Tamandua tetradactyla: one gene and its partners. The protein of the gene in region 1 interacts with the protein of each later gene in a pairwise test. Links are inferred from orthologs where the notes say so. Each region holds a gene or a part of one and is shown in the gene's direction. Other genes may lie near its edges.

Evidence for each region.
Region 2: the proteins of KRT40 (region 1) and HDAC4 interact in binary tests that used the Homo sapiens proteins (3 or more experiments, as listed by UniProt). The two-hybrid records come from large-scale screens. The link is inferred for Tamandua tetradactyla from reciprocal best matches to the Homo sapiens genes KRT40 and HDAC4.
Region 3: the proteins of KRT40 (region 1) and CCDC120 interact in binary tests that used the Homo sapiens proteins (3 or more experiments, as listed by UniProt). The link is inferred for Tamandua tetradactyla from reciprocal best matches to the Homo sapiens genes KRT40 and CCDC120.
Region 4: the proteins of KRT40 (region 1) and WT1 interact in binary tests that used the Homo sapiens proteins (3 or more experiments, as listed by UniProt). The two-hybrid records come from large-scale screens. The link is inferred for Tamandua tetradactyla from reciprocal best matches to the Homo sapiens genes KRT40 and WT1.

The regions. Positions count from the first base shown.
Region 1 is NC_135332.1:26,431,568-26,439,444, forward strand, and holds the start of KRT40 (keratin, type I cytoskeletal 40), read left to right. Parts: upstream 1-4,864; coding exon 4,865-5,311; intron 5,312-6,006; coding exon 6,007-6,089; intron 6,090-6,342; coding exon 6,343-6,499; intron 6,500-7,297; coding exon 7,298-7,459; intron 7,460-7,538; coding exon 7,539-7,664; intron 7,665-7,877. UniProt on the Homo sapiens protein: May play a role in late hair differentiation.
Region 2 is NC_135329.1:216,321,048-216,328,501, reverse strand, and holds the start of HDAC4 (histone deacetylase 4), read left to right. Parts: upstream 1-4,436; 5' UTR 4,437-5,164; coding exon 5,165-5,351; intron 5,352-7,454. UniProt on the Homo sapiens protein: Responsible for the deacetylation of lysine residues on the N-terminal part of the core histones (H2A, H2B, H3 and H4).
Region 3 is NC_135353.1:121,100,625-121,108,380, reverse strand, and holds the start of CCDC120 (coiled-coil domain-containing protein 120), read left to right. Parts: upstream 1-4,741; 5' UTR 4,742-5,066; intron 5,067-6,394; exon of another isoform or gene 6,395-7,756. UniProt on the Homo sapiens protein: Centriolar protein required for centriole subdistal appendage assembly and microtubule anchoring in interphase cells. Together with CCDC68, cooperate with subdistal appendage components ODF2, NIN and CEP170 for hierarchical subdistal appendage assembly.
Region 4 is NC_135334.1:108,436,760-108,444,130, reverse strand, and holds the start of WT1 (Wilms tumor protein), read left to right. Parts: upstream 1-4,368; 5' UTR 4,369-4,626; coding exon 4,627-5,065; intron 5,066-7,371. UniProt on the Homo sapiens protein: Transcription factor that plays an important role in cellular development and cell survival. Recognizes and binds to the DNA sequence 5'-GCG(T/G)GGGCG-3'. Regulates the expression of numerous target genes, including EPO.

The DNA.
Region 1 (7,877 bases):
GTCCATGCTCATTTTCTGGAAGGCTCTGTTATTTAGATAGCAATCATCCTCAAAATATATTCATGTGGTCATAATCAAAATTTCAGCAGGGTTTTTTTTTGTAGACATTGACCAACTAAGTCTAAAATTCTATGGAAGTGCAAAGGGCTAAAACAATCTTGAAAAAAGAAAAGAAAGTTGAGGGTTCTCACTTCCTGATATCAAGGTCGTAAATCTAGGTTAACTAAGACAAATGATAATGGCAAAGGATAGACAAACAGGATTAGAAGAGAATAGTAAGCCCGGAAACAGACAAACACATGCACAGTTGTTGAGTTTCAATGAATGTGTCTCTCCAATCCATGAAGGCAGAAAGTCTTTTCAACAAATGGGGCTGGAGCAGCAGGATAAAGGAGTGAAATAAATGAGCCTCGACCTCATCTCATATCATACACACACAGGAATATTAATGAAAATGGTTCCTAGTCCTAAATGTAAAACTTAAGATTACACATTTCTGTAGTAAAAATTTAGGATAGCAGTCTATAAGCTTAGAAGTCACCTCGGAGTACACAAATATTTCTTAGAGAGGGCACAAAAAGCCCTAACCAGGAGATATTACAAACAGGAGTTTATCAAGATTAAAAGCTCAGGGTGGGCCACGGTGGCTCAGCAGGCAAGAATGCTCGCCTGCCATGCCAGAGGACCCGGGTTCGATTCCTGGTGCCTGCCCATGAAAAAAAAAAATTGAAAAAAAAAAAAAGATTAAAAGTTCATGTGCATCAAAAGGCATCATTACAAAAATAAAAAGGCAAGTGACTGGCAGGGAAAAAATATTTGCAATTCATATAGCTGACAGAGGCCAGGTACCCAGAATATAAAATGAATTCCTACAAATCAGTGGTAAAAAGATTTTTTTTAAATAAAGAACCAGCTTGAATAGTTGCTTCACAAAAGAAAATATCCAAATGGCCAATAAGCACATGAAAAGATGCTCCCCATCATTAGTTATCAAGGAAATATAAATTAAACCACAATGAAATAACATTTCACACCCACTAAAGTGTATAAAATGTATAAAATTTCACAACACCAAATGTTGGTGAGGATATGGAACAACTAGATCTCTCACACATTATTGTGAGAATATATAACCGCTTTGGGAAAAAAGTCCAGGCTGTTTCTTATGAGAGAGACCATGCACTTACACTATGACTCAGCAATTCTACTCTAATGTTACTTACCCAAGAGAAGCAAAAACATATATCCACTAAAAGATTTGGATCAGAATATCTATAGCAATTTTATTCATAAGAGTCCCCAAATAAAAGCAATTCAAATGTTCATTCAGAGGAGAATGGATAACCAAATTGTGGTATATCCATATAATGAAATACTCCTCACTGATTAAGAAAATAAAAAGGATGAAGTAATACTGATACAAATGACAATGTGGATGAATTAAAAGCATAATGTCAAGCAGAAGAAACCAGACAAAGAAGAATGCACACTATGTGATTCCACGCATAAAATTCATGAATAGGATATACTCATCCACGCTAACAGGAATTAGAATAGTGGTTGCTTATAGGAGGTGGAACTGAGTGGAAAAGGGGCATAAGGGCACATTCTGGTGTGATGGCTGGGTATATAAATCTGTCAAACCTGCACATTGATCTCAAGAAAACCAAAAGTTGGAGGAACAAAAAGAACGTGTCCCCACAATTATGGAATTACTGGCGAGTAAGATTCATCAATTGGAGACCCTTCATTGGCATTATATTTTACTTTTGAAAAAGTGATAGACATTCGTATTGTTCATTTCCTGACAAGTTTGTGCAATAAATGGCACAGGTAACATTTTTCTCATTTTACAGTAGACTGAGTCCCAGTGGGGTCTCGTGACTAGATAAAGACTGTATAGCTAATAAGTAACAATGTTGGAATAAGAATCTAATGATTATGAACCCTTAGGATAGGACTCCTCCACCAATTTTCCTTGGCCTTCAGTGTTAAATTATTTTCACAGGAATCGTGTACCAAGACAATAACTTCTACTAAGAGCAGGGGATATATTTTTAGCAAACATTTATTAAGAACCTATTTTATTAGGCCCCATGCACTGGGGCTATGAAGTTTTAATGGGGCATTGTCAAATAAGACCAGTAAACATTGAAATAATTTTAAAATTGCAATGCAATGTGACAGCTGCTATAATGGAAGCAAGGACACATTGCTGTGGTTAGAGCCCTATCTCAATGTGAGGCAGCTGGGTGCCACTTTAGCTGAATCCTGATGCAGGAGTTCATCCAGGACAGGAATGGTGGAAGAGTATTAGTCAAAGTAAAAACCTGCAAAATATAGAGGTGTGGCTGGAGTTTGGGGTTAGTGAGAAGGAGTATCAAGAAATGAGCCAGTTTGAGGAAGATTATATACGCCATGATATGAAGTTTCAACATCATAAATGGAGAGTCACAAAAATAAACTTGCATTTCAGATATTCAGGCAGCAGTAGGTGAATGTTCTGGGGTAAGAGCATTTTACAAATCAAAATAATTGTGTTTTTATCATGACTTGCCATGACATCTATTTATTTTTCTCCATTCCCAATGTCCCTTCCTCTGAGGATGATATACTATAAAAACAATTCTGGGCAATTTCCTTGTAAGCTAAGAATGATAGCTACAGGCCATCACACAACACTGCATTAACTAATCAAAGCCAAAATAAACAGCCCTTCTTGGTGTTTATATACAATAACAGTAATCAACATTTTGCAAATAGAAATTACGTTGAGACAAAAGGAAATGTCTTACTTTACCTGCGACTTGAAAATAATGACACATTGCTGCATTTTAATTAACTGGATACACTGATGGACAAGCAAGTCCTAGATTCTCTTCCAGGATATTTCTCTTCTGACTCATCAGAGTACTATGGGTTTGTAATTTTTCTTCAGATCATGTTTTTTGTTTCATATATGTAACTTTATTAACACCTACATTTGTATTGTGGCAAAATAAACATAACATCTACCATTTTAAAGTATACAATTCCATGACATTAAGTACATGCACAACCATCACAGATTGTGAATTATCCAGATCACAGATTGTGAATTATCCAGACCAGAACTTTTTCTGCTCTAATAAGGTCTTGAATTTTTTAACTCATCTCATTTTCAGAACAGCATCAAAATATTATGAGGTATATAAGAATTTTCTTTTTTATTTTTATTTCTTTTCTAGTAGTAATGAAAATGTTCTAAATTTGATCATGGGGATGTATGCCCAACTATGTGATTATATCGTAAGCCAGTGATTGAATACTTCAGATGGTTTCTACAGTGTGTAAATATATCTCAATAAAATTGCACTAAAAAATATTATGAGGTACTCTAAGAATGTTTGCATAGGTGTTGAAATGTAAAGAGAATCACTAAAATCAAATACAACTTTGTTCGATGAAGAGTAAGTCCTAACAGACTATTTAAATCCATTATTCACAGTCTCCTGTTTTTGTTTTGTTTTTGTTTTTGCATCATCAGATATCTAGGAAGCAAGATTTAGAGTTAGAAAAAAATGAATTTGTCCTGGATTATGAATTTTTTTTTTCTTATAAGGCTTTTTTCTTGTAAGGATCTCAAAGATTCTGGAGGCAATTTGCTCTGTGTTACCTCTGAAAATGAAAGAAATACCGCAGTTAAAGCCAAGCAAAGTGGGATAGATAAAGCTTCAAAGTGGAGGTGAGATTAAAAAGAGAATCAAAAAAAGTTATATCTCAAGTCCCTATCCCTTAGAGACTCCATCCACGAGGGATTCATCATGAAACCGACAACATAAAATTTTTATTCCCAAGTTCCAGTATTTTTAATTTTCATTAAATTGAGGCCTTTGAAAAAAATAAATAAGAGAAAGCAGATTCCATATCAGAAGAAACGTTTCCTGTAGCTTTCTTGCCCATATTCTAAGCGCAATCATTGAAGATTTCCCAAGCACCTAAAAGATAGTAACTTAGAATTTATATTTCACTCTTATCAGAAGTGCCTAAGTAACCTACAGGTATTTCCAAGGTAAAATAATAATAATAATAGTTCCCCTGATCTAAAAAATGAGACATATAGAATGTACAGAAAAGGCAAGTTCCAACAAATCAAGATTTATAACTTCAGTTCCAGATAATCAATTTATATTTTGGCCTACAGGGCACAAATTATGCCTAACAATTAGGCAATGTGATCTTTCAATTTTCACAGAGAGCGATATGGTTAACACACACACACACACACACGTACACATACACACTTCACACAAGTGCATGCCTCACTTCTCTACCATGCAAGCACGTATGCCAATTCAAGATTGCAAAAAGCATTACAAAAATGGCTAATCACAATGAATATTTTAATATTGGTGGCACAAACAAATAAATGGCATTTAATGAGTTGCAATATTAATTTTAAGAGAGAAACAAATTTTAAATGAACATGATCAAAATCCATTGGAATATTTTCCTTATTTAAATCAGTTACAAATTGGCCAAATTTTCTTTCTTTCCTTATTCTGTCAAAAGGATAGTGCTCCTGTGCAGATTTTCTGCAACCAAGTATTTTATCCTACTAGCACATGGAAACAGTATAAGTTCTGATTTAGTAACCTGAAGTTAACCTTCTTTTATGAGGCATAAAACTCTTCCTCAGTAAATAAACAAGACTAATGAAATGTTCTTAGGAAAACTAGCACAAACAGTGATAAAGAAAACATCTGGTGAGACCTGTAAATACCCATTTTGTGGGGGACATATAAAAGTCTCAGAAAGGAAGGAGACTTCTGGAGTCAGGTCACTTGGGTTTTGCAAATACTGTCTGTTCTTCATCTCTACTAGGATGACTTCTGACCATGCCCCCACTTGCTGCTCTACTGAACCCTGTCCTAGGGCTTCTGATTTTCCATCTGTTTCAACCTGCTCCGTGGAAACAGCTTGTCTCCCCAAGGTCTACTCCACCTCCAGATGCGAGACCCCTGGCTTCCAGTCCAGGTCTCACCTGCCAACCCATTGCTTCAAGCCATATTACTTTGCTGGGAGTCGTAACAGTCCATGCTTGGTGGGGACCTGTGCTTGGTGTGAGGATGGGGTCTTCAATAGCAATGAGAAGGAGACGATGCAGTTCCTGAATGACAGGCTCGCCAGCTATCTGGAGAAGGTGCACGGCCTGGAAGAGGCCAATGCAGAGCTGGAGGGCAGGATCCGAGAGCAGTGTGACCAGGAAATCCCACTGGTGTGTCCTGATTATCAGCGTTACTTCAACACCATTGAAGATCTCCAGCAAAAGGTTTGGTGTTTTGCTGCCCTAATTCCTCTGCCCTCCCAGTGATTTGCTTCATCTTCAGTCTAGAAGAGGCTGTTTGATGAAAGGAAATCAAAGGAGAGGGAAATTCCAAGAGCTAACGTGGAAAGATCTCTGGGCAAAGAGTCAGGAAACCTCAGCACTAGCCCCAGCACTGCCACTAATTAATTAAGTGACCATAATATAGTCACTTAGCTGTAAGCTTAACTGTTATCTTCTATAAAATGAGAAAAAACTGTAGTATGTCTAAAACTACTTCTGTATTTAACACTGTATATTTATATTTAAACAGAATCTTCACTGTCATCTTTTTAATCAAACGATTTCACCTGGTAGCCTTTTTCTTCTCTTACTGATAAATTTCTATTACCATGGATGGGTATATAGTCGTGAGTGACATAGTTCATCAGAAAAGCAGGCTGAAAGCTATACTTTCTTTTTTTTAACATTATTTTTATTGTGAAAAATAACATATATAGAGAAAAGCAATAAATTGAAAGCTATGCTGTCTTAAAGAGATTGTTAAAAGATACATAATTGCATTGATTTTAAATGAATAGTTAATTGAAAGCTATACTGTCTTAAACAGATTGTTAAAAGATACATAATTTCATTGATTTTAAATGAATGGTTAAGTTTCATGCAAATAATCATTTATTACATAATAACTTACTTCCCAGATCTTGTGCACAAAGGCAGAGAATTCCAGACTTGCCGTACAGCTTGACAACTGCAAACTAGCTGCCGATGACTTTAGGTCAAAGTAAGTTTAATTTGAATTTGAAAATTATTTATGGTTTCTCTGTCTCTCCCTCTCTCACACACACACACATTTAGCACAAATATTTTTAAGCTACTAATGCTCACAAACCTGTAATTTATAGTTATTTGGGATATGAAGTAAATGACAGCATGTGGCTCCCTTGAGTTCACGTGTCATTCACCTGTACGCCCACAGGGCTTGCACAGCACCTGGCAGAGTAAGCATTGGATGTGTCCGTCTTTTGTTATGAAAGGTACGAGGCTGAACTGTCTCTTCACCAGCTGGAAGAGACAGACATCGGTGGCCTACGTAGGATCCTGGACGAGCTGACCCTGTGCAAATCTGACCTGGAGGTGCAGGTGGAGTCCCTGAAGGATGATCTCCTTTGCCTTAAGAAAAACCACGAAGAGGTGAGGAAACTGGCAAGGTGGCTGAAAGACTCTGAGAACAACAAAGTTTAAGATTTCATGTTCAAGTATTCAAGTTGAACTTGGGTAGATGTTGCTTAAGCTGGAACAAAATTACCTGAGGGCACTATGGCTATTCAGCCTGATCATTCCAATTTGTGTCTGAATATGGACAGGGAATAGCTCCTGGCCAGTACCATGTGAAGGGTCCAAACTCTCCTCTTGCCATTGCTTTTTGTGGAGGAAGTAAATGACTTTGTAAATGGCTTTCCTTGGAGGCTTCATGCCAACTCCAGTCTACAAAAATCAGGTTGATGAACACAGGCAATGAAATCTATTTCAAAAAGGGGGATAAAGATTCATGCAATATTTGGATCGGTATTTTCAAATGTTCTGCATTTGTCCCTTATTGATGAAGCTGGAAAATGAAAAACTGATGCAACAAAGTACATTTTACCTCTGAACATTTGCTGATGATAATAATAGTTAACATTTATTGAGCTCTTACTATGTGCCAGGGCTTTTATAAGTTCTTTGTATATATAGTAAACGCTCACATATCTCACACTAACACTTTGGAAAAGACAAAATTATTATACCCATATTGCAGATGAAGATAAAAAGGGACTTCTAAGTGGTGAGAAGAGATTCAACCCAGTCGATTTGAAACTAAATCCCACAATTTTAACTACAACTCCAAAAACCAGAAATGGGCTGCCACTGGGAAAGAATTCTGTCAAACTGATTCCTCACCCCCGCCCCATCAGGCGGTGACATTCTCGACTCCATTTCCACTTTCAGGAGGTCAGCTTGCTTGCTGAACAGCTTGGTGACCGACTCAGTGTGGAGCTGGAACCTGCCCCAGCCATTGACCTCAGCAAGGCCCTGGATGAGATGCGCTGTCAGTATGAAGTGGTGCTCGCCAGCAACCGCAGCGATGTGGAAGAATGGTTCGCTGCTCAGGTGGGCACCTGCAGCAGGAGAATGACAGGCTTCCAGACTCTTGCCTTCTTTGTGTTCTTTAATCACCCCTGTGTTTCAGATGGAGGAGGTGAATCAGCAGCAGCTGTCCAGCGCAGAGCAGCTGCAGAGCTGCCAGACGGAGATCCTGGAACTGAAACGCTCGGCAAGCTCTCTGGAGATTGAGCTCCAAGCCCAGGAGAATCTGGTGCGCAAGGGAAAGTCAGCTTCTGTTTTGTCACAAATGAATCAGGCCCTGAGATAGTCCAGGGAGATACTGTCCTCTCTTCCATAACCCAAGGGAGAAACTCACATTCATATAGCAAAAGTTCTGAATTTCCAGTTTGCAGGGTCTACATTTCCTTGCCTTTCCTGAGCATGCTGTCAGCTAGCAGAAGTCACAGGTCAACAGCTTGTCCTG
Region 2 (7,454 bases), on another chromosome or scaffold:
TAAAGTATGAATCTTCTAGAATGAAATAGGGTCACAAATATTTATTCCTATGTTAGGCAAAGATTTTTTTAGATACATTAACAAATGCCTGGTGTATAAAACGACAAAGTGAAAAGTTGAGCTTAAAGTTAAAGCCTCTGCTTTTGGATCAATACTTTTAGGAGAATATAAACCCTAGGCTTGAGGAAATGGCTAAAATGGAAAAAAAATTGTACCAATTGTTGGCAAAGATGTGAAAGAACTGGAGCTTTCATGTACAGTGGGCGAGACTGTAAAATGATACAGTTGCGTTGGAAAACCATTCATCAGTTTCTTAAAAAGTTAGACGCACACCTCCCATGTGATCTAAATGTTCTACTTCTAGGTAACGAAGAGATAAGAAAGCAAGTGCCCATACAGTAGCATGCTTTTTAAACCTAACTCTTATCTTTCTGGAATTATGGAATATTCTTGATTCATTATCTCTTTGAATAGTACTTCTTTTCCATGATTTCCATTCTTTACTCCTTGAGTTCATGCTCGGTATTTGTTGGGCCATCACACTGTTTTACTCAAGCTGCTTTTCTCCTTACCCTTTTTTTTTTTTTTTTTTTTTACATGGGCAGGCCCTGGGAATCGAACTCAGGTCTCTGGCACTCTGGCATGCAAGTGAAATCTTGCCACTGAGCCACCATGGCCCGCCCTCCTTACCTTTTTATAATGTATTCTGGTGATTCAGATCTATCTACCAATTCAGTGTTCTGTCTCTAGCTATGCCCAATCAGCTATTTTCAGTGGCTCTATGTTTTTTTATTTTTGCATGGGTAGGCACTGGGAATCGAACCCAGGTCTCTGCCATGGCCTGCTGAGCTTGTGTGGGCCGCCCAGTGGCTCTACTTTTCAATTTTAGAAAATTCGTTATTAAAAAAAAAAAGTCCATTTCTTTTTCCATGGTTTCTTTCTTACATTATAGGCTTTTCCTTCATATAACTTCTTGCTTTTTAAAAACATGCATGTATTAGTTTTTTCCATATTGTTTTGTTCTCTGTGGATATTGTGGAGTCCTTTCTCTGTTTTGTTGTGCTTGCTGATTCTCTCCTCGTTACTGTGTGTCATTTGTAATTTTAGATTTTTATTGTAAATTTGTCTTCAAGAGGAAGTTTTCTCTTTTCCCCTTTTTTCCCTCCTTCTTTGGGTGTCTCATGTGCCCTGGAATTATTGATGCCCTGGATTGTAGAACCTTTTTGTTTTGTTTTCCTGTGGACCCCAGGTTTCCCAAGTTCTGGCCTAGTCTTATTTCTTAATTTCTAGACCTGAGATTGCATGAATAGGACATGAATTTGGAGGCTCCTTCCATAAAGGCATGGTCGTAGGGGAGTCTGCTTCTCACAGCAGGTTCTTCACAGCTCCTTCTTGGCCTAACAGGTGGGTTTCCAGTCCCCCTTTCCTAGATTGGATGGCCCTTGGAGAGCTCTGTCCTGATGCATCGTCCTCAGTTTCAGCTCTCTGCCCATGGCGTGCCCAAGGCAACATCTGCTACCCAGTAAGGTCCTTTCAGCCCTCTGTTCTGAAGCCTCTATCCCAGATAGGCAGCTGGACTTCAGCAAACTTGCTTAGAGCACCCATTGGTAACCAGAATCTTCTCTTTCTTTTGAGCTGAACTCTGTGTGGAAAGTGAGGTGTGGGGATTATATTCTGTATTCTAATCATAATTTCTGTATTCTTGGAGTGGGAGGTGTGGGGCATTGAGCAGATTTCAGGAACCTGAGGTTCTAATTAGCTCTGTCTACTGCTTAACTTGGTGTTTGGCCATCAGTAGGATGTGTGTCTTCTAATGTATGAAACTGGATCTTGGGCTGCAGGTGCCTCTTAGTTCAGACTGTCCGTATGAGGAGCACGCATCTGACACCGATGTGCTCCCTCTCCTCTTTCCTTGTAGTTGCAGTTGAGCTCAAAGCTTGCCCTTTGAACTGCCTGAAAATGTAGAGCAGCCATGTTTCTTGAAGGTGATTGTATAATGATACAGCTTTCGCAATGTGTGATTGTGAAAACCTTATGTCTGATGCTTCTTTTATTTACCTTATGAGTAAAACATATGGATTAAAAATAAATAAATAATGGGGGAACAGATGTTAAAATAAATTTAGTAAATTGAAATGCTAATGATCAGTGAAAGGGAGGGGCAAGGGGTATGGTATGTATAAATTTTTTTTCTGTTTTCTTTTTATATTTATTTCTGAATTGATGCAAATGTTCTAAGAGATGATCATGATGATGAATGTGCAACTATGTGATAAAAAAAGAATGTTCATATTGTGTGTTGATTGGTTTTATTAATAAAAATTTTTTAAAAAGTGAAAGTCTATTCAGCAGTCGACCTATACGATGATACTGTGAGCCACTGATTGTACAGTGTGGGTGATTATATGGCATCTGAATATATGATGTATCTCAATAAAACTGCATTATAAAAAAGTGAAAGCAAAACTAAAGATAACACACTTGCCAAATAATTTGAGTAGTGAATCTTTCTAGATGTTTTTTCAAGCAGTAAAAAAAAAAAAAAGCTTGCTCTCCTTTCTGTTGTGGACACTTAAGTGTGAGCCGCCACAGCACAGCGCCCGCCTTGGCCACAGAGGGCCTGTGGGTCCCACGTCGCAGGTGCCATCCGTCCAGAGGTGGACAGCCCTGTGGATTGGTTTCAGGTGAAGAAAGCTGCGTCTCTGTTCTGTTTTGGTGTGATTTCTACAGTTTCCCCTTGCCCGTTGATTTTGCGTGTTATTGGCAATCCTTTGTAGTGGTACATGTTTTAGCGTCTTGGTTGTGGATGGAATTATAGGAAACGAATCTGTTCCGAGCTGCTGAAGGATTGCAGTAGCTTATGAGAGGAGGAAGCCATGCCGCGAGATCAGTGCTGTCCAGGAAGTGGGTGACCTGTGCGTTGGAAGCCCCTTTTGTGGCGCTGCAGCTCCTCTCTGCGGGGCCTGTGTGCAGGAGGCGACCTGGGGAAGTGGGGTGCAGGAGCACAGCCGGCTGGGTGCCCAGGGCCCAGGGCGCTGTGTCGCGGGTCCTGGGGGAGGGAGCATTGCCTGGTGGTGTGCCCCTTGAGGTCGAGCTGGATCGTGAGGGCGCGTGCGAGCCGGTCGGGGGAGAGGTGGCTCTGTTACTTCTACACTGAGAATCAAAAATTAACTCCATTACAAAAAGTAGAGCATGGTTTAGATGAGCTAGGGATTTCAGTCTACAATTTTTGATATTTCTGTTCTCATAGTGAGGAGACTTGCAAAAATTAGAGAAAGCTGTTTCAGAAAACCATATTTTTAATGTATGGGTCTTTGGGTATAGTCTGCTGCTTTCTAGATTGGCATTAAGACAAGACCCAGTCCTCTGGAGAAGGATGGACGCAGCCCCATCTGTCTTTGGCAAGGAGATTCAGCAGGATACGCCGTCATCCGCACTCTGGGGTGGAAGCTTCTTCGCTGCTCTGCTCTTTCCTCCGTGCTGCTGCTCTCCCGCTTTCATGTCCCTCTCAGATCTGGGAGATGCTTCTCTGGCAGCCAAGCTGGCCGTGCTGCACACTCAGACACTGCGTGGCAGAGCTTTGCCTCCCGTGGCGCCCGGCGATGCAGCTTGTCAGCCCCTGCTGCGTGCCCAGCGTCAGCCAGGGGCCTCCATGGGGGCCCGTTGGAACTCTGCCCCGAGAGGGGGGCAGTAGGAGCCCCCCTGTCCTAGAGATGTGGGAAATGAGGCCCCTGCTGCATTAGGTCATTTGGGGACGTAGAGGGGCCTCTAGAGGGCACCTGGCTCCCAGGCCCCCTGGCCCCCGGCAGAGCCTCGGTGCTGCCTCTCCAGGTGCCTCGGGCTCCATCGTGGCGAGACCACAGCTGAACAGTCTAGAAGGGCAGACATGCACATCCTGCCAATGGCGTGAAGCGTGGTTGACATCTAACAGCAGATTGCTTCTGCTGTCGGTAGCTCCATTTTTAGAAGATGAAAATAGAACACTCCACAGGGTAATCGCTGTATTTTTAGACATTCAGGTTTGTGGTGTATAACAGCGATCATAAAAGAAACAGTGGTAAGGTTTAGTTCATCTTGATTTGGGGGAGTTGTGATTTGTACAGTATATCCATATTGTATAAAACAAATACACAAGAGTGATTTCTACAGATTGTGCACCAGCTATTCAGAGGACCCAGGGGAGTTGGTTCTGTTGGCGGGAGGAGGGTGTGCTGTGGCATTCTTGCGATACATGGTAATGATGCAGATACCTCGCATGCACATTTCTACCTTGCAGGAGCCTGCACTAGGGTGTCTGTAGGTGAGAGCAGGGCCATGAAGTGGGGGTAGGGTGCAGGAGAGTGTCGCCCTGGCCGTGGGCAGCGGGCTGGGTGAGGAGGAGCCGCTAGGAGTTAGCTGGTGTCTCCCAGCTGTGGTCTTGGGACGGTGAGTCTGGTGTCTCTCCCTAGCGGGATGGGAAAGGCAAGGGACCCTGCAGCCTACTGAGGGTGATGGGGGGACCTCTGGACCACCTCATGACACTAGTTTCTGGAGACGTTTGTGCAGGAGATTGGCCCGGACTGGTTCCGGTGGGGATGCCGAGTCTGGGTGGTCATCTCTGGAGTTTGAATGCAGGTGCGAGGCCGCCGTGCCCCTGTGTGTGCCCTCCGCGGGCCTGGCCTCTGTCCTCCTGGGTTCTCAACCCTAAGGGGATCCTACTCGGGTCCTGATAATGCGTATTGAGTAAATGAGTTTAAACGAAATAAAATGGCATTTTATTTACCTGGAAGACATCTGTGCGTGATAAGAAGGAAACCTGTGGGAAGGAACTGTGTCTCTCCCCAGCTCCGCCGTGCGACAGTGCTGGGGGTGGCGTCCTGACGCCCAGTGAACAAGGACAGTGGCAGCCGCCGCCCTGCCCTCCAGACGTGCGGCCCGTCCCCCGGCCGTGCGCCTGGGGAGGGTATTCAGCTGATGGTGTGGGCGAGCTGCAGCCAGTGGGAAGTAGCAGGGAGTTGAATTAAATATACGTTCATTGCTTGTATATACTTTATGTCAGTTTTTTCCACAAGATTTCTGAATGGCGTGTGTGCCATATAATATTTAATGTGCTTTTGTGTTTTTAATTTACCAGCTCAGCTAGAGAGATTGATAAATCCTTTGAAGGACTGCGGCCCTGCCCAGGATGGGTGTGTGTCTGGCCCTGAGGACCTGCTGGTCTGACCTTCATGGAGTCGCTCCTTGTCCTTGTTCATTTCTGCGGTGTCGACGTGGGGACGGTCATTTTCCTGTACCGTGCCGATGCGAGGACAAGGGACTGCTGACTGTGCCTCGCCCAGAGGAGGTCTCTGGGCAGTTAGGGTTATTAGAATGTAAGCATTTTTCTTTAGTTTACCGATTTCCAGGAAGAACAATCACTTGGAAAGATACAGTGAATTCAAGCAAATATCATCCTAAGGAAAGAACCTCTCTTTCCCTGTGGGGGCTGCTGGTGGCCATTAGTGTCTGCTCTGAGCAGACCTTGCTGGGTAGGGCCCCGAGACCACAGAGTACTTTGTGGACTGCTCCTGCGTGGGGTGGGGGGTGTGGAGCCCAGCATGGGGAGCACGTTGCTGGGGGTTGCTGGGGGCTGGACTGCTACCGCCTCGCACTCTCTCCCCTTTGCTTGGCAGTCGGCCAGATCGGTCACTTCTGAAGCGTTGTGTTGTGGCTGGGAGGGCAACAAGTCCTTTTCCTGTGCCAAGGGTACGGGCACCTTAAAGTGGGTGTGGGTGGAGGACTCGGAAGGAAGGGGTCTGTGGCTCAGTTTCTTTCCATCTCGCTGTTGGCCTGAAAGCCCTACAGCCACATGCAAGCTCTTTCCAAATGTCCATTCTTGTTTTTTTGTTAAGATTTTGCGACTCATTTCTCATGAGCTGCTTAATATGCACTATTTTCCAGCTTCCTGTTGCTTCACCACAAACACCTTCGAGCTAATTTTTATACTCAGCAGTGTGGAAGGTGAATTGGGGGTGGCTTGTCTCTAGGTGGCTTTAGATGCTGACTCACTTTTCTGGCAGGAGCGTTTGCCCTGCTCAGGCGCCCTGGCACAGCATATGTGCATACGTGCTCCTGGAGGGCAGGTGCAGTGGAGGCACAGACAGCCTCCTGGGCTTCGTGCCCCATCCCTTAGCTACATTTTTAGTTTATTTCTCGTTTCTGCCTCCAGTGTCACTTAACAGGTGGGAACATTGAGGCTGAGAGTGTAATTCCTGAGGTAGCTGGAAGTGGGTAGAAACCAGCCCGAGGGCTCCAGGACACAGTCCCCTCCTGCTGTCGTCTGCACCTGGCCAGGTCAAGGCTTGAACCCAGCCGGGCATTTTGTTGCTGGAGGGCTTGGCAAATCAGATGTTTTAGTTCAGGAATTAGGATGCCTGCAGGAAAATAAAAGTGGTAGGTACAATTTAAAGTTTTCACAAACTTGCAGGTTGGGTCCTAGCAGTAAGGAAAATGCGTGATTATTTACAGATATCTTTATTTCTTGGCTGATAATGACTTTTGCTTTCCATGGCTGTTGATTTAAATCTAAGGGACTGTGCCATTTGAATCTGTTGTGTACTGCAGAAAAGCCTTGTCCTTCAATCTTCATTCAGTAATGCTGGGTGGGGTCTTTTTTGACTGTTTCCATGGAGATGTGACCCACCCAATTGTGGGTGGTAACTTTTGATTAGATGGTTTCCATGGAGATGTGTCTCCACCTATTCAAGGTGGGGTTGCTTACTGGAGCCCTTTAAGAGGGAACCATTTTGGAAGAAAGCTTTAGAGCCGCCAGAACCAACAGAGCCCACACAGCCAGAGACTGTTGGATATGAGGAAAGAAAATGCTCCCGGGAAGCTGTTGGAGAAGCCAGGAGAGAAAGCTAGCAGGCATCACCATGTGCCTTTCCAGTTGAAAGAGAAACTTGAAATATCATCAGCCTTCTTAAACCAGGGTATCTTTCCCTGGATGCCTTAATTTGGATACTCTCCCTTGACTTAATTTGGATTATTTCATGGCCTTAGAACTATAAACTTGTAACTTATTAAATTCCCCATTTACAAAACTGTTCCATTTCTGGTATATTGCGTTCTGGCAGCTTGCAGACTAAAGCAGGGTCCTATACGGAAAACCGTTTATTCATCGTGATGATTAGGTTCATGTGCCGTCTCGGTCAGGTGATGGTACCCTGTTGTTCGGTCAAGCAAGCATTGGCCTGTCTGTGGTTGGGAGGACGTTCATGGACTTGAACCACGAGCAAGTTGGTTGCATCCATGGCTGGTACATCTGTAGTTGGCTAAGGGGAGTGTCTTCTGCAACGAGTGACAATTAATCTAATCACCTGAAGTCTTTAGAAGAGAATTCAGAGAGAGAATCTCTTTCCGCTTGAGCCAGCCAGACTCTCCTAAGGAGCTTGTTGAAGACCTTCACTGGAGCTGCCCGCTCGTGGCCTGCCTAC
Region 3 (7,756 bases), on another chromosome or scaffold:
CAGTGTAAATCTCCCTGGCAACGTGGGACAAAAATCCTGGGATGAACCAGGACCTGGCGTCAAGGGATTGAGAAAGCCTTCTTAACCAAAATGGGAAGAGAGAAATGAGACAAAATAAAGTTTTAGTGGCTGAGAGAGTTTGGATTTGAGAGGTTATCCTGCAGGCTATTTTTTTCTTATTGATTAAAAAAAAATGAACAAACAAAACATTAAGATATCAATCCATTCTACATATACAATCAGTAATTCTTAATATCATCACATAGTTGCATATTCATCATTTCTTAGAACATTCGCATCGATTTAGAAAAAGAAATAAAAAGACAACAGAAAAAGAAATAAAACAATAGAGAAAAAAAGATTATACATACCATACCCCTTACCCCTCGCTTTCATTTAACACTAACATTTCAAACTAAATTTATTTTAACATTTGTTCCCCCTATTATTTATTTTTATTTCATATGTTCTACTCTTCTGCTGATATAGTAGCTAAAAGGAGCATCAGACACAAGGTTTTCACATTCACAGAGTCTCATTGTGAAAGCTATATCACTGTTCAATCATCATCAAGAAACATGGCTACTGGAACACAGCTCTACCTTTTCAGGCAGTTCTCTCCAGCCTCTCCACTACATCTTGAACAACAAGGTGATATCTACTTAATGCATAAGAATAACCTCCAGGATAACCTCTCGACTCTGTTTGGAATCTCTCAGCCACTGACATTTAGTATTATTTCACTCTTCCCCCTTTGGTCGAGAAGGTTCTCTCAATCCCTTGATGTTAATTCTCAGCTCATTCTAGGGTTTTTCTCAGTCCCTTGATGCTGAGTCTCCTACAGGCCATTTTTATACATTATATAGATATCCCCTTTTAAATTTATGGTGTATTGGAGTAGCTAGAGGGAAGCACCTGAAACTCTAGAGCTGTGTTCCAGTAGCCTTGATTCTTCTTTAAAAAAATATTTTTATTGTACACAACAAACAAACATACAAACATTCTTGACATACGAACATTCTATGAATGGTGTACGATCAATAGCTCACATTATCATCACACAGTTGTGTATTCATCACCATGATCATTTTTTGAACATTTGCATCACTCCAGAAAAAGAGAAAAAACCCTCATACGTTCCATCCCTGTCATTGACCACTGATATTTGCATCTAACCAATTTATTTTAACCTTTGTTCCTCCTATTATTTGTTTATTTTTTATCCACATTTTTTACTCATCTGTCCATACTGTAGATAAAAGGAGCATCAGACACAAGATTTTCACAATCAGTCACATTGTAAAAGCTATGTTGTTATATAATCATCTTCAAGAAACATGGCTACTAGAACATAGCTCTACAGTTTCAGGTACTTTCCTCTAGCCACTCCAGTACACCATAAACTAAAAAGGGATATCTATATAATGCCTAAGAATAATCTCCAGGATAACCTCTTAACTGCGTGAAATCTCTCAGCCACTGAGACTTTATTTTTTCTCACTTTTCTCTTCCCTCTTTTGGTCAAGAAGGTTTTATCAACCCGTGATGCTGGGTCCTGTCTCATCCCGGGATTTCTGTCCCACATGGCCAGGGAGATTTATACCCCTGGGAGTCATGTCCCATATAGTGGGTAAGGGCAGTGAGTTAGCTTGCCATGTCAACTTAGAGAGAGAGGCCACATCTGGGCAACAAAAGAGGTTCTCTGCGTGACTGTTAGACCTAATCTTAAGTAGGCTTAGCCTTTCCTTAGCAGGGATAAGTTTCATAGGGGCGAACCCCAAGATTGAGGGCTTGGCCTATTGATTTGGTTGTCCCCACTGCTTGCGAGAATATCAGAAATTCTCCAAATGGGGAACGTGAATATTTCCCCCTTTCTCCCCATTCCCCCAAGGGGGCTTAGCAAATACTTCTTTATTAACTGTCCAAATCACTTTGGTATTTATCAGGACATCACACTAATCTGGACAAGCCAACACAATCTCATGCCTTATTCAAGATTCCATGTACTTATGGTGTTCAACTAAACTGACCATGCAAGTTAAATTAGGAAATGCACACCCAAAATATAAATTTTGCACCAAATCATCATTTCTCACTTCAGTCTCACTCAGGGAGTTGAAATTTTTAAATCTGGATGATATCGTCCTTTACCCAGTCTTCTAATATTCCTTAGTCCTATCCAGATCAGTTTCATTCATATCTCTACTTGATGTCTAATCATTTTTTCAATTTTTTAAACAGTTCCTATATGGGGTAATGCTGACTTTCATAGCTTCAGAGCTCTAACTCTTAGTCTCAGCTGTCACATAAATACCTGAAATTTCTGGAAATGACCAGGTCATAAACAAACAGCTCAGTATCTCAGAATTTAAAATTAACAGTTACAACTCATGAATATATGTGACTGCTGTAAGAGCTTACAATGTAGGATCCTTTACAATAGGCCCCAACCTGATAACCCATGCTCCCGACTTCAGTTCACCAAGTTTTTACATTATAGTTAGTCCATATGAATGAGGCTTGACAATATTTGTTTTTTTGTTTCTGATATTTCATTCAACATACAGTCCTTAAGGTTCATTTACCTAGTTGCATGCCTAACAACTTCATTCCTTCTTGCCACTGCTCAGTAGTCTGTTGTATGTATACGCCATAGTTCCCCCTTCCATTCCTCAGTCGTTCTACCCTCTAGCCACCTGCATTCATTGTGGATCTGGAACACTGCTGCCATAAACACCAGTGTGCAAATGCCCATTTGTGTCCCCACTCTCAGTTTCTCCAGGTATATACTGAGTAACGGGGTTGCAGGATCATATGGAAACTCACCCCTAGCCTCCTATGGAACCACCACACTGCCCTCCAAGAGGCTGCACCTCTAGTTTCTCTACCAACAGTGAATAGGTACATCTCTTTCACCACATTTTCTCTAGCACTTATTTCTCTCTGTTCATTTTTAAACAGTTTTATTCACACATCATGCAATCCAACCTAAGTGTACAGACATACCTTTGCCACCATAATCTACATGAAGACATTTCCTTTTCTTCCACAAAAAATCCATACCCCCCCCCCCGTTGACATTTAGTTTTGGCATAATGTCTTCATTACATTGAGTGGAAGCATATTACAATGTTTTTATTGACTATAGACCCTAGCTTGCAGTGATTGTACATAAAGATATATCTTTTACAATGTGATGGTGGGATTGTGAAAACCTTGTGTCTGATGCTCCTTTTATCCAGGGTATGGAGAGATGAGTAAAAAAAATATGGATAATAAATAAATAAATAATAGGGGGACAAAGGGTAAAATAAATTGGGTAGATGAAAATACTAGTGGTCAATGAGAGGGAGAGGTAAGGGATATAGTGTGTATGAGTTTTTTCTCTCTTCTTTTTCTGGAGTAATGCAAATGTTCTAAAAAATGATCATGGTGATGAATACATAACTATGAATGACATCGTGAGCCATTGATTGTACAGCATGAATGGAGTGCATGTGTGTGAAGATTTCTCAATAAAAATATTTTAAAAAAATCATTGGAGGGTTTGGGGGACACATTTGGGGCCACTGGAGTATGATTTGGGGGTTCATTGGATAACTACAGCAACGTTGTTGATAGCTATTTGGACGTATAATTGGGGACTGTTGGAGAGTGGTTTGGAGTGAAGTTTAAGTCTGTGGACTGTGGTTTGGAGGTGCAGGGAGTGTTGGAGGCTGGTTTGAAGTGCAGTTGGGATCACACCTAAGAGTAGTTGGGAGTATTTGAGATAGTAATGGGGGCTGTTGGAAGGTAATTAAGAGAGGTCAATGGAGGGTGGTTTGGGGGTCCACGGAGCATGGTTTGGAGGTATCATAGGTTACTGTTGGATAGTGATTTGAATGGCAGGTGAGGGCCACACTGCAGATAGTTGAGTGTTTGGGGTGATGTTGGGGACTCTTGGTGAGTGACTTGGGGAGCAATGGATGGTAGTTTGGAGAGTACATGGGAGGTGGTTTTGGGGATAATGAAGCATGTTTTTGGGTGCATATATTGGGGATAGATGGGGGTAGTTTGGAACTACTGTTGGAGGTTAATGTTGGATGATTTCAGGGTTGATGGAGCATGGTTTGGGGGAACAACTTAGGTAGTGAGGGTAGTTTATGGGTGAAGCTTGGATGTCCATGGAGGGTAGATTGGAGGTACTGCTTGCGGGTCAATGGGGGGGGGGGCAATGAATGGTGGTTTGAGGCTGAAATTCAGAGGCAAATGGGTAGTGATTTGGGGGTTGATGGAGTGTGGTTTGGGGATTCATTGATAATTAATTCGGGTGCAATGTTGATGTCCATGGAGGACAATTTAGGGATATAGCTTGGGGTCAATATAGTGTGGTTTGGGCATAGCTTGGCGGTCACTGGAGGGTGGTTTGGGGGTGCATTTGGGGATGACATGGTGGGTAGTTGGGAGCGTTTTAGAAGTCTGTTATAGGGGCTGTTTGAGGGCAGGGTGACCTGGGGTTAGGGGCCCCAGTTTGGGCATTGAGGGGGCGTGGCCTCGGTGGGGGCGGGACCCGGGCCGGGAACGAGAGCGCTCCAGGGGCGCGCACTGTTAGGCCCTGTTCCTTAGCTGGCGCGGCTGCCCTCGAGAAGGCGCGTGCGCACGCGCTTCCAGCTCGTTCGCTCTGGGCGCTCCCAGGGCAGGAAAATTGAAGTCCGGAGCTCGCGCTTGCGCACTTGGGCCCCATCGCGGCTGTGGTCTTGCGCCCCGCCCCCTCCCCCTTCTTCCCGGGGCTCGCGCTCAGCGGCTGAGGCGGTGGTGCCGCCGAAGCCCACAGACTTAACTGAAGGGTGGCAAGCGGGGCTTCCCCACCCGCAGCGCGGAGTCTGGCGCCTCTCTCCCACCCTTCTCGCGTCCCCCGTCTGGCCCCCACGCCTAACGGTCTCGCGGCGGCACGCGGTCCACGGGCAGGGCGCGGAAGGGGAATAGGCGCGCGCCCGGGTAAGATCGGAGCTCGGCGAGGGAAGGGCGCACCCACTACCCCTCCCGGCTGACACGACCCCGCTGACGTCGCGGTGCGAGGACGCTCGGTGAGTCATAACCCGGTCCCGGGCGGCAGGGGAGGGACAGGGCGGGGTGAGGGCCTGGAAATACCGACGGTGGACGTACCTGGGCGCGCACCCCGCGACCTCTGACCTGGTGGCCTCACTCCTGACCCATGCCCTGACCTGGCTATTTCTTTTCCTAACCTCGAACTCGGCCACCCTTGGCCCCAGAACCCCAGCCCTGATCGCTGACCTAACCATGTTCTGGCCTGCTTTGATCATTTGTACCTGTTTTTTTTTTTTTTTTTTCCCCCTTAACCCTCTAGCACTGACCCCAAACCCCAGTTCTGTCCTTGGGATCCTGGGCCTGAACCCGGGTCTTTGTGTGACCCTGTCTCATCTCTGAAGCTCGTCTGGCCTTGTCCTGATGCCCAACATCCACCTCAGTTTCTGTTGTCTCTTCCCTAACCCCCTGTCCAGGTCTCTAACCCCCTCTGGGCATGTTCTACCCCCCTGACCTCAGTCTGCTTCTGCTGTATCCTGACTCCTGACCTCTGACTTCTGTGCTTTCTCCCCACCCTGTACCGTCCCCCTGGCCCCTCCCCTAATAGCTGGTTTACCACCTTTGGAATGTCTCCTGTCCTGTCAGTCCCTTCCCCCAATCCTGTCCTGATTTTCCCAGTCCTCTCTTGTTTCATCACCATCTTTACTCCTTTCCTCATTCTGCCCTGGTCTTTTCCTGTTCTTGACCTCCGTCCTGAACCTGCCCCTTTCCCTAGCCCCTTCTATGACCACTGTCTTCACCTGTCCCGCATCAAGTCTTCTGACTAAGGTTGTACACAGACCTGGAGCCCTGTCCTGGTGTTTTCTCCCCTTGTGATTTTTCTCTTACCCCTGTCCTGAACTTCATTCTATCCTATCCCCTGGCCAGTGTCCTTCTCATTCCCAGGCCTGCCTCCTGACCTCTGTCCTATGATGACTCTGATTCTGCCTTGTCCCCTACACACCTTCCTGTCCTGTCCCTATATCCTGTCACAACCCCGGACCCTATTATCTACCCCTTACTATGCCCCTCCACCCTGCTCCCTCCTTCCCATACCCTCTGAACCCAGAAGGGCAGGGATCCCATTATACCCTGCCCCTGAACTTGGGGATTCCTCGGTTCCTAGGACCTCTGAGGTATATCCCAGATGCTTCTCTTAGCAAGAGGGGGAATGGCATTCTCTCCCTGCCTCCCCCATGACCCACAGCTCCCTGAAACAAACAGCCTTGTAGGGCCAGTGTGGCTGATAGGGTTTTTTGTATGTGATTCCTCCCACCCCCACCCCCACCCCCACCCCAGTGATCTCACACAGAGCTTGCATTTTTCTCTCTGTTCCAGGAGGGCATGGAACTGTTCTTACGCCCCCTGCCCTCCCCAAGTGCAAAAGAACACCCTAAATTATTCAGTGGCTCTCTGGGAGTCTGCACGGTCCAGGTTATGTTTCCAGGCTTGCTAAGTTGGGGACTGCCCCACGTCAGAGGGGGTTGGTAAAAGATGAACCTGGGGTTATGTGTGTCTTCCTGGTCGTGTAACTGCTCAAGCCCTTGGTCTTGATTCTAGGTGTGTGTGCGATCCCTGCCTTACTGGCCTGAAAAAAAAAAAGTCCATTTTAAGTTACAGGCTTCCAGGCTTGGAGTGGGTAGGATTAGGGCAGGAATTTATCCCCCTCTCTTGGCAGTAAACAACAAAAATCTTCATGCTAAGTCCACCCCACCTCTGTGGGGCAGGTCTGGGACGGTGGGGCCGGGAGTTCACTGGATGTTAGAATCAGGCTGATGCAGAAGGAACAATACAACAGCAGCAACAATAGGATCCGTCACTGTCTGAATCTTCTGAATTCTGAGGATGGGTAGGGAGAATTTGGGGGGAATGTCTTATTCAATTATGTTTTTTTTCTGTGTTTCTCATAGAAAGTGGCGAGAGTTTGAAAAGTGAGGGATACCAGACCCAGCTCATTTATCTAAACCCATTAATAATAACAACACAAGCATCCCTCACTCTCCCAGACTATTTGGTACCTGAATTCTGAGAGGGAGAGTTCTGATAGTTCAGACATGAATGATGCCATGTTGTCTAAAGTATTTGAGTTTCCTCATTTTACCTGGTGAGTAGAGAGAGCTCAGATAATGAGGCTCTAACTCAAAAGTATATTCAAATCTATTCACTTTCCTGAATTCCGGTGACAAGAGTTGAAGAGTGAGAAGTACCGTGTTGTGTAAATATATTTCATTGCTGCCTTTTGCCTGGTGAGTAAGGAAGGTTCAGGGAGTGAGGGATAACAGCTCTTTCTCCAAAATATATGTAAATCCATTCGCTCCTGACTTGGGGTAGTGAGAGTTCAGAGCAAACAAGTTGTCTGAACATATTCAATTGCTGCTTTTTCGATAATTTAATAGGGAGAGGTCAGATAATGAGAGAAATCGGCTGTTTCAAATGTATCTGGCTTGGCCAGTAGGAAGGGTTCTGTGTCTGGGTAGCAAATATGGAGGGTTTGGAGGCTAAGGGATACTAGCTTTGTCCCAAGACTGTATCTGAATCCATTCAGTTTCTGATTTTGGTTAGTGAGAATTGGGACAAATTATCTGAGGGAAAACAGCTCTGTTTCACATTTATTGAGCTGAGGGATACTAGTTCTGTCTCAAAAATCGTATCTGGATGTATCTGTTTGGTTCCTAAGTTCTACATAGGAAGG
Region 4 (7,371 bases), on another chromosome or scaffold:
TTAGAGAGGCAGCGCTGCGGAATCCTTTCACTGAGGACTCCGGGAGCTCGGGGATCCGGCTTGCGTTGGCATCAGAACCGACCGGTAACCCGGGCGGCTCCAGGCACGGCGCGCTGGGGGAGAAAAGGGGGAATTTGCGCGGCGTTCCCTCCAGTGCACGGCGGTTCCCGGGACCCCAAAACGAGTCAGAGAACAGAACTCCAACCGCAGATGGAGGGGTTGGTCATATATATAAATATATGTATATATAAAAGATCGAGTTCATTGTCAAACAAGCTGAGGAAGACGGGAGTGGGCTAGGACAAAAGATCCCTACCTTGCTCTTTTTATTAAATTTTTAATTTAAAGAAAGAGAAAACAAAAAACTGGGAATTCTACAGTGAAGCTCGTGGCTGGTAACCATCCTAAGCGCCTGCTGGGTGGCCCGAGGTGGGCAGATTCTAAGAGCTGAAATTGGTGGGGAAGGAGCCGCAGATGTCCGGCCGTTTGTTCTGGGCGTTGGGATCCGGGCGCAGGTCCTCGGGCGAGGACCTAGCGGAGCGCCTGTTCCTCCCGGGAGGCGGGCTGTCGAGAGGTCGGGCCACTCCTGATCAAGGGCCTCTGCGGCCCAGAGCCCTGGCCCTTGACAGATCGCAGCGCTTCAGCGTGTTTATTCAGATGTCTGTGGCCTCAGGGTGACGCTGGAGCGCGGCCCCGGCGTGCGCGCTGGTCCCTGGGGCCCCTGCGGCCCAACTCCGCGCTCCGCTGTCGGTGCCGGTTGAAAAAACCGGTCCCGGGGGTCGAGAGACCTCAGTGCCGCTTCCCCCCAGCCGCGATTTTTTGATCTTGCGATAATTACATGCACCTTCCAGGCGGGGATGCGCTTTACTCTTGTACCAAAGCCGCACAGGTTTCCAGCATCTTTCCTTTCCTCCTCACTCCTTTCTTTACCCCCACCCTAGAGAGGCAAAGGGGTCGTGGCAAAGCCTCGAGGGAGACCCGAGTTTCAGCTCGGTTCTTCCATAAACTGCCATGTATCCTTGTATTATATGCTAACAAAAATTGCAAAGTTTTTTCAGCTCTCAGGCCAACACCATTCTCTTATCTAATCCTCAACTCCTATCTAATCCTCACTAGGGTCCCATGAGCTCGTCTGACCCATAAGGAAACCGAGTCTCTGAAAGGCTAAGGAACTCGTCTAGGTTCACAGCCCTTGTTAAAGTAGGTTCACAGCCCTTGTTAAAGTGGCGGAGCCGAGATTTCATTTTCTGGCCCCCAATTCCTTGTTCGTAACCACTGCGCCCCGCAGTTCGCCTTTCCTCCCCTGCCGGGGCCTCGTTTCTTTCTCTGTAGAAAGGGAGCTGAATCTCTAGGTCTGACTTTTGGTGATTTAGACTGGTATTCCTTTGGCCATGAGTCTCGGCGCTGACGATGTGGGAAGGGGGGTGAAAGAGGGGAGCCACCAGCTCTCTGCAGCCTTCATTTCCCTGAGACCTTGGGCCGGCCTCGAACTGCAGGAGGAGCAGGAGAGCGCCTGCCGGCCGGGGCCCGCCGAGGATGCGGCCTCCTCCTGCTGAGGCTCTGGGCCTCTTGGCCCAACTCGGGGTGCCGAGAACAGGGTGGCCGGTGCGTCGGCCTGGGTAACCATTCGGCTCCCGCAGAGTACGTAGCCAGGAGAGGGAGGAGAGGAGGGGAAGGGGGTATGGGGCCCTTGAGACACGGGGGTCTGCGGGTGCCATCCAGGACACCGTGCCAGAGCGCAATGTGTGTGTATATGTGTGTGTTGGGGGGGGATGCCTCAGAGGTCTCGGTACAGGTCCCGGGGCCCTCAACGGCGGGGTGTCTGATTTGCAGCACTTACCTCTCTGCCGGGTCAGTTGGAGGGAACTCCTCTCACCGCTCTGCACCGCAAGACTCGGAGAGGGGGCACCAGGGGGTTGTAATGGGAATCGCACCACTATGCTAACCCACCACAGGGCATTTCAGGAAACCAGTGGTGGAGCAGTGAGCGAGTCTCAAATTTGTCGGTCTGCCCTTTCCTCCCACCTCCGCACCCGCTTCCCCGGGCAAACCTTTTTTTTTTTTATTTTTTAACTTAAAAGCAGAGATGTAAGCGCATTTGTCCTTCGTGGGATCCCAAACCACAAAGACTCACATTTCAACCAGTCCCTCCAAATATCCTCCCCCAAGACAAAACTTGCAAAAGACTGCTAAAAAAAGAATTTCATTCTTTTCGTTTAGAAATGGAAATCTCTGGCTTTTCGGAAAGGAACCCCTTTGCTTCGTAGCGCCTGAGTCCTAGTTAAGAAAAACGAGTTCCAAGTAGAAATAGAAGAGAGGTGGGGGCTGGGGCGCTCTAGGGCTACTTGCCTGAGACAAGTTCTCTCCGGGGGTCTTTTTCCATCACAAAGACCAAACGCACTTGCCCTCTGCCCAGCCCTAGAGCTCTGCAACAGGTTCAGGGATGGGGCGTGCAGGAGAGCAGTCGACTCTCTCCATAGAGTGCAGGGGAAAGAAAAAGAAACCTGAATCAAGAGCCTCTTCCATTTCTTTAAATAATAATAATGTTTCTGCGTGGAGATGTGGCAAAGTCAAGCACCGTAAGTAGCGCAGGGAGGTGTCCACGACCGCGAAGGTGGCTGAGGGAGCAGCGGGCAGCGCATGCTCCCAATCTTTGCCCTCAGGGTCTCCTGACAGGCGATCCCAAAAGTTGGGAATTGCGGACAGCGCGGACGTCCTAAACCCGCACACGCTGGGTGCCCGCAGCCGGAACTCACAGCGACTGCGTTTAGCGAGTGCAAATTAAAACCAAAGCTTACGAAATGGAGAGTAAGTAAAGCTTTATCAACGCGTAGTGTCTTCGTGAAACTGCATCTACCTTGATGCTTCACGGGACCCTGGCTGGAAAGCTGCGGGCCTCATCCCCGGCTCGCCCGGTGCCCAGGACCCAGGGCAACCCGCCGCCTCCCGCCCTGGGCGCCTTGCCGTCCCAGTTTGAGCCCTTTGGGCCACCAGGCGCCGCTGGGCGTTTCCCGCGCCCCTGAAATGCACATCACTCGGGAGTCCCGGCGCTTCTCCTCATCTATGGGCCTTCCGCCTTATCCTCGATAGATCCTGTGGGGCGCGGAGCCAGGCGGAGAGAGGAGAGGATTTGGCTGGGGTCCACTCGGGGAGCTCCCAGCCGACACTGCCTCGCGGCGTGGGCCGAAGGACGCGCTCCCTACCCGGCTCCTCCAGCCGCCTTTCTGGGCTGCGCTTCCCCGCGGACCGCTGCGCGCCGAGGGTGGTACCCCCGCCGGGGAGCAAGGCAGAGCTTGGCACGAGCGGCGCCAGGAGCCCCTCTCTCTCCATCTCCACCTCCGACAGGGTGCTAGGATGCTCCGGCAGGCTCCGGGCCTTTCCCCAAGGGTATTCTTACCCCCTCGCCCCCCAAACTAGCCACTGTTTCTCCCGAGCTTCACCGTGGAAGAATCAGATACTCTGCACTAGGAAGGGCGATTAACGTGGCTGACACGGATTTTTAGATAGGTAGGAACCCCCTTCCTCTAGGTACAAACCTCATCAGGTAGCCAGTTACCAGACAACTACCAACTACCATGCCTGGCTTATTACAACAGATGCAACTTCTCGAGGCCACCAATCTGGGGCACGTTCGTCTCGAATCCCGGGCCTCCGGAATCCACAAAGGGCCTATACCAACCCCCCCAACCTCCGCACCCCATGACCCCCAAATTATGGCCACCACTCTAGCCTGTCGGCTCTGGAAGCAGGAACCGGATTCCTAGGCGCAGAGAAAGGGCATCTGCGATTTATAAGTCCAGGCAAGTTTTCTGTGCTTAACCCAAGTTCCCGCCCTAGCCGAGGCTACCTGCCCCTCCCTCCAGCCCGCCCTCTCAGGTTAACACCCCCATCCCCACCCCTTCGCACTTGAGTGCAAAGTGGACACGAACTCTCACCTGGAGGGACTCACCAGTGCCTCGAGGCATCCACACTCGCGAAATCTTAAAGAGGGGGCGGGGGGGATGCACCCCACAAGCTAGCTGAGTGCGTGTGGCGGGTGGAAGGAGAGGAGGGTGCCTCTGAGAGAGACGGCCCCTCAGGCCCGCCTCCAACCCCCGCTGCGAGGGCGCCCCCCCCCCCCCAAGGAGCGGCGCGCGCTGCCTAGCCCGGCTGGGGCTGCGGTGTGAATGGAGCGGCGGAGACTCCTGGCTCCTCCTCCGCCGCCGCCGGCCCCTCTTATTTGAGCTTTGGGAAGCTGGGGGCAGCCAGGCAGCTGGGGTAAGGAGTTCAAGGCAGCACCCACACCCGGGGGCTCTCCGCAACCCGACTGTCTGCTCCCCCCTTTTCCCTTCCCGCCCTCCCTCCCACCCACCTTTCAGAGCCGGGACGCCAGTCCCAGCGGCCAGGCCCCGCTGCTCCTCTCCGCGATCCTGGACTTCCTCCCGCCGCGGGAGCCGGCTTCCACGTGTGCCCCGGAGCCCGCATCCCGGCACGCGCTCGGGATCCGGGTGCCTTCAGCAGCTGGAGCAGCCGGGGACACGCGGCTCGGGCTGCGGCATCTGGGCCAAGTTCACCGCGGCCGCGTCGAGCACAGAGCGTGGGCAGGACCGGAGGAGCCGCGGGGCGCCCGGGACTGAGCCGCAGCAAATGGGCTCCGACGTGCGGGACCTGAATGCGTTGCTGCCAGCGGTCCCTTCGCTGGGTACCGGCGGCGGCTGCGCCCTGCCTGTGAGCGGCGCCGCGCAGTGGGCGCCGGTGCTGGACTTCGCGCCCCCGGGCGCCTCGGCTTACGGTTCGCTGGGCGGTCCCGCGCCGCCGCCGGCTCCTCCGCCGCCGCCGCCGCCGCCTCACTCCTTCATCAAACAGGAGCCGACCTGGGGCGGCGCGGAGCCGCACGAGGAGCAGTGCTTGAGCGCCTTCACCGTCCATTTCTCCGGCCAATTCACCGGCACAGCCGGAGCCTGTCGCTACGGACCCTTCGGTCCTCCTCCGCCCAGCCAGGCGTCGTCCGGGCAGGGCAGGATGTTCCCCAACGCGCCCTACCTGCCCAGCTGCCTCGAGAGCCAGCCCGCTATTCGCAACCAGGGTAAGTAGCCCGGGGAGCGCCCCCTACACGCGGGGCGGTGGCGCCGGGGCTCTCACGGAGTGCAGGCTCTTCTTTCTCGTGCCTCTTCTCTCCCTGATCTTAGCTTTTACTCGGCTGTCCGGCCAAGGTCTAGGAAGCAGCGGCCGGGAAGACGAGGCGATGCCCTGAGAAGGGACCATACGCCGGCATCGGCTTCCGACGCTTTCCACCTCCCGACGCCTTCCACCTCCGGGAAGGGCGGGAATCGGACTGTTCGCATGAGCCGGGAGGTCCTCGCCCCTAAAGCTCCATGAGACTCCCGGATTTCGAGTTCCTTCGGGAGTGGGGAAGGGGGAACCGTTGCAGTCTCAAGCTCTGCCTCGGGAAGAGGATTTTGTTGTCCAGGGAACCACCAAATTGTCACTAGGCACTGGGCATCGTAGACGTCCAGACGGGGGTTTCGGAGTGGGTCTCCTACAGCATGAGCTGCCTACGCTACGCTGGGATGTCCAGACTTTACAGCGCAATATGATATTGCACACAGTAGGAACACAAGTACCAAGTTGGGGGGGGAGGGTAAGTAAATGAACGGGCTAGCAACTAAATAGTGATTTTCCTGAAACTGTGTCCGAGTCCACTTACGGTTCCAGGATATGGAAGTGTAGAACTGGGGCTCTCCTGAATTCCTGCCCAGGCGCGCGTGGGGGCAGTCTCCTGGGATGGGAAAAAAACAGTTTATCCGATTCTGTGCTATATAGGGGGCCGGGTTCTACCCGAAGCAGTGGTATGAAGCCTGAACATGGGCCTGCCTTTCAGCGCGGCTTGGAAATCCCCTCCTGGCTTACACGCGGGGCTCAGGGGAAAGAATTTTGCAGGGTCTGGGAGTAGACAAGGACAGGTTTATTTGCGGTGTTCAGGAAAAGTACAACGAGAGACATGAACCATTGTTTTCTCCTATCACTCTGGCGCCTGCACTTCTCTCCTTTCTGGCGGCCAGAGCGGAACCAAGCGGTTCCGGAATCTCAAGCCCCTATAGTTTGGTCCCTAAATTTATTTTAATTGAATTTCGTTGAGATCTTTTAAGCCAATTCGGTTTGACTTGCTGTCTTAGGAAATGTTTTGCTAACACAGTGATGGGGAACTTTTCCTGAAGCAAAACTTCTCACGGGCCTAGGAACTAAGATTTTTCTGGAACGCCTGGGCTGGTTGGGACGGAGTATGTATGGTTTGCAAGAGGTGCTGGGGCGCCCGGGCTCGGAAGAAGGGCTCTGTGCACCTGGCCGACCGAGGCCCAGGCGAAACCGAAACCATCCTCCCCTTTTCCACCCGGCAAGAACCTGGGGCCTAGCCAAGGAGTTCTTAACTCTTGGGCCTTCAGAAATAAAGTGTTTTGTACTTAAGGGAATTGGAACAGCTTAGTGCCCATTGATCGCAGAATGCTGCATGGTCTGGAGGCTCCTGTTTTCGGATCGTGTCACTTCTAATTGGCAGGCTGGTGTTTCGTTTGGCGATTTCTCCAGGTCCCAGTTTGCGGAGCTGTAAGAGGAGGGCCGAGATGGGCGACCTGGAGGTCGGTCCAGCCTGAAATTCTGCATTGGAGAAGCGGAAATGCAACTTATCAAGGGTTCTGGGTTCTAAATACTGAACTCGCCAGCCCACCTAAACATGACTGGGCCAGAAATAGTGCAACTGGCCAGTATGTGGTTGCCTGCTGGTTAGAGAGGCCTAAGAAGCCATTTATGTTCCTGGGGCCCAAAATCTACTGCATCATTATCTTTGATTTGAGTCCATCTAGATTGGGCAGGGGCTTATGGAACCTGGGCTTGGTGGCTTGGCTTTGAGTCCAACGTTCTGCAGGGCAGACATGTCTGGTGCTCGGGGTCCGGACACCTATGCCAGGCTGTAGGTGTTGCAGCCAGCCAGGACTACACTGAGGGAAAAATGCCAATTCTTCTTCAGTAAACAGACCAAGTTGCCCCAGAGAAAAAGAAAGTTGGGGGCAAGAGAGCCAGAAAGGAGGTGTGGACGAACTCCTACCCCAGGGAAAGGCCAAAGGGGAACCTACTACCCCAAACACGGGCAGTAGTTGAGAGGCGAGCTGTGGCCTCTGGTCTTGGCTTTCTCCCACAATAGTAACATTAATGGGTTGAATATGCCCAGCCCTTGGAGTTCACTCAGTTGAGCTGGGGTGTGGGATGTAAGAAGCCGCTGCAGCCCCAACATGGGCAACCAGGACAGGCTCTCGAGGTCCCTGAATTCCGGGTTTATTCTTTTGATTTCTGGGGTTCCTTCGGCTCCCCCAGGAATATATGGCCAGGCCAAACCTC